Daphnia pulex: one gene and its partner. The protein of the gene in region 1 interacts with the protein of each later gene in a pairwise test. Links are inferred from orthologs where the notes say so. Each region holds a gene or a part of one and is shown on either strand. Other genes may lie near its edges.

Region 1 (5,265 bases):
GGCCTCCATTTCGGTTGCGTCTGGAGGTATACGGAGAGTAGCTCCTTCAGGAGTAGTTGAAGACGAGCTCCAGCTACGAGAATCCCCTTGTCCTTGCTCTTTCGATTCCACTTGGGCTTCAATATCAACACGACAAAGTGGACAGAATTTAACAGTGGTAAGCCATTGGTCAACGCAAGAGACATGAAACAAATGCATGCAAGGTAGACGACGGACATCTTCACCTTCCTCAAATTCACACAGGCAAATGGTACACTTTTCGGTGTTGTCTTCATTACTGTCGCCATCAACGCTGCTGTTGCTACGCAAGAGACGCTTGTACGAATGCGACAGAGTATTGCGTTCGATGCACGTCTGGGAGGCACCACGCGAGAGCTGGGCCATTCGACGCTGTTCCACCAAGCGCATGTACTCTTCCAAACGCGTTGAAGGACGTAAAAATGGGTAGTGATGTGGTGATCCGCTCAAGAATGGACTGTTGCCCAGTGGGATCAATGGTGGTGGAGGATGGTGGTGGTGACCGTGCTGCTGGTGGTGAATGTACAACGGGTAGCCACGGTGGTAAGGTTGCTCCTGCTGATGGGCTGGTTGGATTTCGACTGCTGCGGCACCTTGAACACCGGGCATGGCAGGTGGTGGAACGCGTTCCATTGGTACGGTTCGAGGTGGTGGTGGTGGTACTGCGGGCGGGATGGCTGGTCCTGGACCTATACTGATATGCAAATTGCCAGGCAGACTGAAATGGGCAATGTGGTGGTGGTAAGACGGAGCAAAAGCATAGGCAGGAGGAGGAGGCAAATGGTGATGGCGAGGATCTAAATTGACAGGAGAACTTTCAACGACAATTTCAGCTTGAACGGCCGGCATCATGTGGCTACTCAAATCGGGAGCGTGAACAGTTCTGAATTGTGGCGAAGGACTGCTGTTGCGCTCCAGTGCAACTGGATGATATGGAGGAGGCGGACCAGAGAAACCAGTGGGTTGTTGTTGATTTTGAATGCCTTGACTCATCATCGGAGAATCCGGAATCGATGACGGACCGCTAACTTCGACGGTTTCTCCAGCTGCGACACGTTGTGCCATGTCCATATGACGTCGAAGAGCTTCTTGCGAGCGGTGCTGTGAATGCCAAATCCTCTGGTGAATGGGATGGATACGCATGAAGCTTCGAGCAATGGCAGGCGGCATCGTACAACGTCCGTCCACGGGTCGTGAAGTGGGGGCCGCATGGTAAATACCAGTTGTTTGAGGAACGAAAACGGGTGCAGGTTGAGCGACAGAAGTGGCTTCAACCAGCTGACTGGGTTGCAGTGGAATGGCCGCAGCCTGATTAGAAGATCCATCTCCTGCTACGTGTTGAGGTGACGGAGTGGCTACTGTTTCAACGGCCATACTTGGATAACTCCACCAGACGGGCGAACGAGCTCCACCGTGGGTTTGAACGGTTGACGGCAAACGTAGAGTCAGAACTGGCGGTGGTGGAGGATGGTGATAAGCTGGCGGTGGTGGTGTATACGAAAAGGCAGTGGCATGATGAGCTAGCGGAGATGGTCGAAGAGACTGATTAGGAATGTAATGTGCTCGTATTGGATTACCATTGTTTGGCCAAGCTACACCCATGGGCGTGGGCCGTCCTCCGTCCACGTAAAACTGCCCTGGACATCCGCACCAAGCACCTGGGCGGTTTCCTGCAGAGGACGATGGAGTAACGGACACAAAGGCCGGCGATGCTCGTCTTACTTCAGCGTCTGGCTGATTGTTCTCTTCAATCACAACCGGTATTGGTGCCATTGGAGGCTCTGCTTTAGGTATAGCTCTTGACTTTACAGACGACGATGGTTTGGGCTGTCTCCCAGTAGAACGAGAATAGCCCGACGATGTAGAAGGATTGGGAGTCGACGTTTCGTCTTCTGAAATGGTAAGATCTACGACTTCGGGTTGATGCTGAGAACGCAATAGACCAGGTCGGACGCTTACTACTTCGATGCAACTATCGTCATCGTCAATGTCTGATTCGGTAGCAGAGGAGGAACCGTCAGTCAGACATTCTAATTGTAGATCATCAGCAACTGGGCCATCATCGCCAGTTACCGTTCTTGCAACTCCGATACCCGATGGACCGGGTACAGGTTCTCCACCAGAAGTCTCGGCTTGTTTTTTGGACTTCGATGCGTTGCAATTTGAATCCTGTTGAGTTGTATTCGGTCTTTTTCGGCGGACATCAGATGATGAAGATGATGCTGCTACAGCAGAAGCAGCAGCTGGAGGAAAAGATTCTACGCGGTTACTGTTGGCCCAATGGGGAGGTGCTGGTGCCTCCTCCAGTCCAAAGTGAAAGCCATCGACGTGGCTACTGAAGGAGGCAAGAGAAAGAAACTCGTCGACTGGGCCAGGTGAGAGAGAGGGATCGAAATAAGGATTTCGAGTGATAGTGATCTCTCTCTCCCCACTCTCCATACTGTCGTCAAGGAATACAGGATCTGGTGGTCCAGACAGACTGTACACTGAAGGTTGCAAGTTAACACTGACATTAATACTTGTTGGCATTTGAAGAGTCAATGGCAAAGTTTCATCATAGTGGAGTGCAACTGGGGGTGAGAGCAGCTGTGACGGCATCAAGACAGGGCTGGGAGTTTCTAATTCTGGCATGTCCAAATCCTCTTCATCAAAATGGCCTGATGGACATTCACCATCAATAGAAGGGCAATTCCTACTAGGTGTTCTGGGCGGATTAGTCCTTCCATTTCCAAATGCCAAGTGATTGTTTGTTTCTTCTGCTGAAAGTGATGTTTGTTTCGGAACATTTTCTGTTGCTGACTTGCTACTATTTGTTCCCGAGCTATTGGATCTTTCAGTGTCCATTGTATTTTTTCTAGACGGGCCAGCTTGTTCGTCACCCATTATTGATAACAACTCACTCGATAGAGACGGCTCGAGGCAAGATGCTCCCAAGGGAAGAAAAGACGATGACGTTTTCCTCCCTACACCACCTGATGAAATATGTTTATATAATGAAACCATTTGTCATTAAAATTAAGATTAGTTTGACTTACCATTAAAGACTGAAAAACAAACTTAACAGTAATCCTGTATGAAAACTCGGTAAAGGGCAAAGAGTCACGCCAATCAAGTACAAAACCCTTTCTTTCCAGTTAAGGACAGCTGATGAGACAATTGTCTTTGCTGTAAACAAGTGCCAACGGTGCTGCCAAGTGCCAATATTTCGGTCAACATCGATTTTTTTACTTATTTTTGGTTGTAAGTTTGAATGATGAAATGATTCATTAAATAACTTAAAAATAATTACATTTATGAGTTAAGAATTTCTAAATTAATAAAGTTTACGTAATTTTAGAGTTCATTCAATAATATTTAAAAAAATATGAACAAAACTGTCATCGTCTCTTTTCCTTTTGCCTGACTGGCTGACTGACATTCTGACAGATTAGTTATTCGTTTTTTTGAATAATAAATATCACAATTTCGTAAACAAGTTGAGAATTTTTTGTGGGGAATGTCCATAAGTGAACTGAAATACTAGTATTGCTGTCGTTCGAAATGAGTGTGACACATAAAGAATCGGGAAGTAAAATCGTTTTTGTTACTGTAGGGACTACCCAGTTTGACGAATTAATAACTCAAGTTTTGCATCCAAACACGTTAGAGGTATGTTCGATATTTACGTTGCATTACACATTTTTCCTAGTAAATAATAATGTATAAAATTTGAGCATCAGATTTTGGAAGATGATGGGTACACACATCTTGTTCTGCAAATTGGACTTGGTGTTGAACCTCCAATTCCTATTTCACGAAGAATACAAATATCTTGTTATCATTTTAAAGAAAACATTTCTTCTGATATGGAAAAAGCCTCCCTAATCATTTCACATGCTGGTGCTGGCAGTTGTCTTGAGGCCCTCAGTGTAGCAAAGCCATTAATTGTTGTGGTTAACCAGAAGCTGATGGGCAATCACCAGCTAGAACTTGCTGAGAAGTTACATTCTGAAGGACATGTTTATATGTGCTATCCAGAAACCTTAAAAACTACCATTGTTGATTTTAGAACTACTAAACTCCAGAAATTTCCTAGAAATAATCCAGTTGCATTCTCAGCCTACCTTGAAAAATTGATGGGATTTCAAAAATAAAGTTCAATTTGTGTATTGATTTCATACATTGTAAACGTCTAAGTTGAAAAAAAAAAACGGTTGGATATGATGCGATAAAGTTAGTGTCGCGAATAACGATCTGCCGAATAGCCAACGGATCCAGACTGCCCGATAACAGGGTTGTTAAGACTCCCTATGTTTCCTGTCGCTGGATTATATTGCGCGGATCCACTAAGAGGGGGAGCTGATCCAGTCCAGTTGTTATTAAATGATCCAGACGACGCCATTGACCTTCCGACAGGCATTAACGAGGATGACGATGCGCTCCAGCGATCTTGTTGCGTACTTCCGTTGCCAGACCAGCTGGTGTTAGAAGACAATCCAACTCCATTGCCCAGCATGGTATTACCGCTTCCATTGGAACCGTAATTAGTTTTTGAACTTCCAACTCCTCCGCTTGATACGGGGGCATTCGCACTGGAAGGGCCTCGCTGCCAGGGCTCAGACACTCTCTCATTGTAACGGTGATCTATTCGAACAAAAGAGAAAACCACAAAATAGTAATTAATATATGATCGCAACCGCACTTTCCATCCGGCTTTTACCTTTCCCACGTGAGTCGTTGGCATATCGATCACGATGATCTCTCTCCGGCATGCGGTTGTTCCGTATCGGTTCAGTTGCACTTCCCCTGCCTACTCCTCGATCACGCGGACGCTCTCTTTCCCGCTCCCTGTCACGATCTGAAAAACCTTCTCGGCTTCGGCTCCCGCGATCGTATCTATAATTTTAAAAAGTAATTAGGTTAAGTACATTAATCCAGAAAGAAAAATTTTGGATAATGATTAACAAGGATTGTCACGATTTGAATGACTTTCCTGTTAAAATTTGTTACAGGCTAGGAATAAAATCGTTTTCAATTTAGCGAGCTGATAAATGGCACTGCCTCCACATAAGTAAAGCAGCACTGAGTGCAGCTGCATTTTTAAATTAAATATAAGAAGATTCACACATTTAGTAGTTACATACCTCTCATCACGTCCCCTGTCAACGACCCGTCTGTCATCCAAGCGATCACGAGGAAGGGGAGGTGGTGACGGCGGTGGGAGTCGAGTGTCTCTGCGAACACTTGATATTTCTTGGACTACGCGTC
Region 2 (5,010 bases), on another chromosome or scaffold:
TCCAGTGGCGCAGTTGGTTAGCGCATGGTACTTATACGACAGTAATAAATGCAAAACTAACAATAAATTAAAGATAAAAAGTAATGCCGAGGTCGCGAGTTCAAGCCTCGCCTGGAGAAATTCATTTAGTTAATTTGCGAAATAATTTTAAAAAATGTTGATATTCGTTATCCAAAATGTGTGTATTGCGGTTTATTGATTGGAGCAGTGTTTGTTATACCTAACTCCATCGCTAGATATCGATAATAGTGTTTGTAGTTTGACTAATCAAACCTTTTTCAAAATGACTATAACTTCAAATTAATTCTTAGCGTAATATCGATCCTGAGATTTTTTAAATGAATGTACAGTCGAATTAAATAATTATTTTTATGTTGAATTGAACCTTAATTGCCTCAGAAATTGAATACTCTTATCGTCACGGTATTTTCAGAAGACCGTCGTGAGTTGGAAGTAATTTTTCATCATTTGCAATTCTATCGGATTCGATCTCGGCACATATGAGCTATTTAACTGAAAGCTCATGCCCTACACGATTGAGCCATGTCATCTGTCGTGCTCGGAGATAATCAAGAGAATGTACATTTTTAATTGTGTTGGAAACTTTTTATTTGCGCCATAATAGAAACCGTGTTATAAGACATCCGCAGTGTATCAGAATGCATTATGCAATCTGACTAAACAAAAATGGCAAATGTTTGCAGAAAAATATTAATTGAATTAAGTTTTGGGTCCTCTCAAAACATCTCCAGTGGCGCAGTTGGTTAGCGCATGGTACTTATAGACAGTAATATATGCAAAACTAACATCAAAATAAAGATTGAAAGTAATGCCGAGGTCGCGAGTTCGAGCCTCGCCTGGAGAAAATTATTTAATTAATTTGCGAAATAAATAAAAAAAAATGTTGATACTTCGTTGTTTCCCACTACTGTCGCCGAGACAATGAAGAATCGATCAAACAACGTCGATTCGCTCGACTTGCGTCACTCACACCTATTGCATAATGTGTTACGTCAATATGACACTGCTGTTGTCACTATATCTTGTTAGTCCTTAAAGGATTCGCAACTGCCATAAATATCTCCAACTGAAAACAATACTACCGTTACGCTTTTGTTGTCACTTGTAAAAGATAAGGGCTCCCACCTTTTTAAAAAAACATCAACGTCTCAGTTTTGTTATAATACCATATGTCATCAATCGATAACTTTCTGCCTTAAGGTTATATAGGAGATGTACAGTACCCAGTCCCAATTAGCTGACGCGGGACACAAATTAGACAGTTAGCAGTGACATTGCACGACAAAGGAGGTTAAGGAAGACGCAACTTGGCCCGTTTGCGTAGTTATTGTTTCCGCTCACGAACCACAAAAGTTCAGTGAACGTTGGAATCCCCCAACTTATTGACGTTTGTTTTTTGTCTGCGTGTGAACTGGAAAAGAAAGAAACTCGCTGAATCAGAGATGAAGGGCAATCTTATTTGCGACGTAAAAAGAAATAAACGACGATAAATGTTTATTACAGGCAGTTTCCACGGTCGTTGAACTCGCAACTTCCGCATCTGCTTTCCGCAATTCACAGCGTTCCGCACAACTGCGTCTGCGAAATACCCAGACGTTTTTGGAGGAAGAAAACAAAACATGTCATCACATCACTCGCGTTTCACATGTTCTCCTGCTCAGGTAAATATTAAATAAAAAAATGCTTCAGTTTAATAAGTGTGAACGTATTCAGAATGGCGAAACGTTAAAGAGCCGCCTGCAATTATCTAGTCGTAGTTGGTAGAAAATGAAACTCGAGGAACCTTCGGTTGCCATGTCAGCTTGTCCTTCAATCTCATCATTATTTGGACTTGTCCTTGACATTTTGCTAGTAAAACTTTTCTTTTAAGTAATATTCTTGACTCGGTTTGAGGTTTCGGAAGTCTTTTTAGCGGTAAAAATAGCTATACTGCTCTGGAGATGGTGTGTGTTCTTGAAGCTTGCTAATCGGTTATGGCACAGATTCAACCAACTGCTTCCTTATTCTTCCCAATTGAGTCACCTGAGAAAATGAAACCCTAGAAGAGAGTTCTGACTTATTGGCACATGTCAGTTTGGCACATGTCTGGTGTGGCTTTGCACGGTTCACGTGAAGTGAAACCCTGCAGCGTACTGTCAAACTGGTGACATTTCCTTTCTATAAAAGGAGAAAGCTACATAAGTGGCAAGTTAGTTCTTGGATCGGTGAGTATAGTTTTCGCATTACTTGCTGGTGGTTGTGTCTCACATTATTGGTGCCCACTGCGAATATGAGTGACAAATCCCTGACTCAATCGTGTGTTCTTCAGAGACAAGAGGTTAACCCTGATTGTTGCCGAATAGATCAGTATCTAAATAAAACTCAATTTTTTTTTAATATTACAGAAAAGGCTGCAAAAGGAGCTTGTCTCCTTGATCAAGGAACCTCCTCCTGGTGTTGTGATCGATGGAGAATCTGTGGGCCAGAGCCTGGACTTGTAAGATTGACTTGACATTTTGTTGGACAAGTGCATCACACTTTTTTCACTTTATTTTTTTCAAATCTCACTTCCAGGTTGGTGTTGAGTATTAATGGAGCTCAAGGAACGATTTACGAAGGGGAGCAGTTTCAGTTACAGTTTCGTTTCGGACCAAAGTACCCTTTCGATTCGCCCGAGGTAACACCTTTCAGTCAACGAATTGACCAAAACCAACACGTATGTTTTACTCATTTGAGACCACTCTCTTTAGGTTGTTTTCGTCGGATCGGAGATCCCTGTCCATCCGCACGTCTACAGCAACGGTCTGTCTAGCGTGAAACCCTTAAAAGATGGTCAATAATTTAACCGCGGCTCTTTTCTCCAACCTTTTCGGTTATTCAGGCCACATCTGCCTCAGTATATTGACCGATGACTGGTCACCGGCTCTGTCCATTTTTTCGGTCTGTGTTTCCATTATCTCAATGCTCAGCTCTTGTAAAGAAAAGGTCAGTTTCAATTGTGTGAAAAAGTATCTTTCTCACCCATCACTCATTCACGACTATTGACCCGTTAGAAGAGACCACCGGATGACAGTATGTACGTGAAAACGTGCAGCAAGAACCCAAAGAAAACCAAATGGTGGTACCACGGTGAGTTTGAATGGCTACCGCCTAAACCCGAGTTATTATTAATCTTTTTTAACCATAAATCATTTCCCAATTTGCCAGACGAAGAAGTGTAAAACGGGTTGATATCTCTCCCCCTCGATTCCCGCTACGAAAAGAAAAAGAACCTGTTTCACGCTGGCGATGCTCGCGTCAGAGACAATCTAGTCGCCAAAAAAATACGAAAGAAAACAAAAATGGATTTTCTTTTTTCAGTTGTCAAAATTTTCCACCCTTCCGAATCGATCGCGTTGATTTCCCATTCCCGATATTGACCTACTACTTCCTCGCATAACGAAACAGTTCCTCTCTGTCTTGATTAATATGCGGTTGATACTCTCCAATTTTTGACTTGTAGCAATATTCACGAAAAACTACAGATGTGTAATGTTTCACACTTTTGGCGTTTGATTTTTCGACTTTTAATCGACATCAAATCTACGAAGCCTTTTTCCCCCCTTCTACTGTGTTTTATCTTACCCCCACCCATTCTTTAAATGTTAAACGAAAAATATTTCGCTCGTATAAAATTTGTTTCAACTATTATACTCAAATTCTTTTTCATTTCACGTTTGGAAGACAAAAAAACTAAACGATTTGAATTAGCCAAGTAAATAATGAATTGTATATTTCTGAAATGGTTTCAAAATCAGAGGGTAGTAGGGCGCAAATTTTGTAATCGACTTTTTCTGTTTTATTATCCTTTTCGAGAACATTTTTTGATGTGTGTGTGTGTGTGTCTTGTGTGATGTTTTTGTTTCGAAAGAAATAGAAGAAGAGATTAAAGTTCGTTTCCGACAGCTTTTTTTTAAGACTCCGCTATAACAACAGCAATGAAGGGCGTGACAAAACATACTTTTGGGTAAACGTAGAGATTAATTAAGGTGGGCGACTTGAAAAAAAATGTCATTCGTCAATTAATGATCGTATTATACACACACACACCATGACTCATGTTAATGTTAAAATAGCCAGTCATATGAGGAGTGTATATATAGCGGATATGAGCTGAAGAAAAGGAGAGGAAGAAAGGTTTTTTGACAAACAAATTCTCCTGGGTAATAAAAAGGGAAAGGTTTAAAAAAAAAAAAACAATTTAACTTTTTTTTTTCGTTTTTTCTTTTTTTTTAAATCAATTAATAAAATCAGAAAGGAGGAAATCTAAAATGATTGAGCGCTGCACGGTATTCCGTCGGACGTGTACACACTGAGAAGAAACAAATCCGCCGAGCTATTTTATCCTTTTTTAAAAAATAATAATTACAAAAATCCGAACTGCATTTTTTAAAATTCATTAAGGAGAAACGAAGAAACAATTTTGAAATTGAAATAGAATTACAAAGAGAGAGAGAGAAGAATAAGGAGGGCAGGGGGGGGATTGGTATACATAACAGCTCTGTGCGAGCTCCGGTATAAATAATTGACACGAATTTTCTCTCTCCAACCACACACACACACACGTTTTTCTTTTATTTAAAAACAGACAATCTATAATAATATATTTATATATATTTTTCATGTGTGTGTGGAGGAAGGAAAATTCCTAGGAAATATATCAAACAAAGATGGAGAAGAAGAAAGAGAAATATATATAAAAGTCACATCCAATCAACTAGAGAGCTTCTTCTTTTTTAAGACAAGAGATAGATAAACCTCACACATCACTATTACAGTTGTTGTTGTTGTTGGGGGGGGGGGGGGGAGTAGAGAGAACTTGTATGATACACGAAATACCAAACTGTCGATATTATCCAACATGATATTATAAAACTTTCCTCCCGGCAGAAGAAAGAAAAATCATTTGTGTGTGTGACGTCATAATATCGAAGCTCTGAGCGGGTTGAGAAATATTTCTACAAATCTTTT

What was found.
Region 2: the proteins of E3 ubiquitin-protein ligase Arkadia-like (region 1) and ubiquitin-conjugating enzyme E2 W-like interact in a two-hybrid assay, tested with the Homo sapiens proteins (2 studies listed by BioGRID and IntAct). The link is inferred for Daphnia pulex from reciprocal best matches to the Homo sapiens genes RNF111 and UBE2W.

The regions. Positions count from the first base shown.
Region 1 is NC_060024.1:8,994,520-8,999,784, forward strand, and holds the start of E3 ubiquitin-protein ligase Arkadia-like, read right to left. Parts: upstream 3,215-5,265; 5' UTR 3,054-3,214; intron 2,991-3,053; 5' UTR 2,902-2,990; coding exon 1-2,901. Other genes in the region: UDP-N-acetylglucosamine transferase subunit ALG13 homolog, read left to right, coding at 3,559-3,666, 3,732-4,151; SAFB-like transcription modulator, read right to left, coding at 4,232-4,641, 4,718-4,893, 5,142-5,265. UniProt on the Homo sapiens protein: E3 ubiquitin-protein ligase. Required for mesoderm patterning during embryonic development. Acts as an enhancer of the transcriptional responses of the SMAD2/SMAD3 effectors, which are activated downstream of BMP.
Region 2 is NC_060027.1:2,994,762-2,999,771, reverse strand, and holds ubiquitin-conjugating enzyme E2 W-like, read left to right. Parts: upstream 1-1,753; 5' UTR 1,754-2,290; coding exon 2,291-2,338; intron 2,339-2,405; coding exon 2,406-2,497; intron 2,498-2,574; coding exon 2,575-2,677; intron 2,678-2,750; coding exon 2,751-2,802; intron 2,803-2,881; coding exon 2,882-2,985; intron 2,986-3,053; coding exon 3,054-3,129; intron 3,130-3,207; coding exon 3,208-3,221; 3' UTR 3,222-3,934; downstream 3,935-5,010. UniProt on the Homo sapiens protein: Accepts ubiquitin from the E1 complex and catalyzes its covalent attachment to other proteins.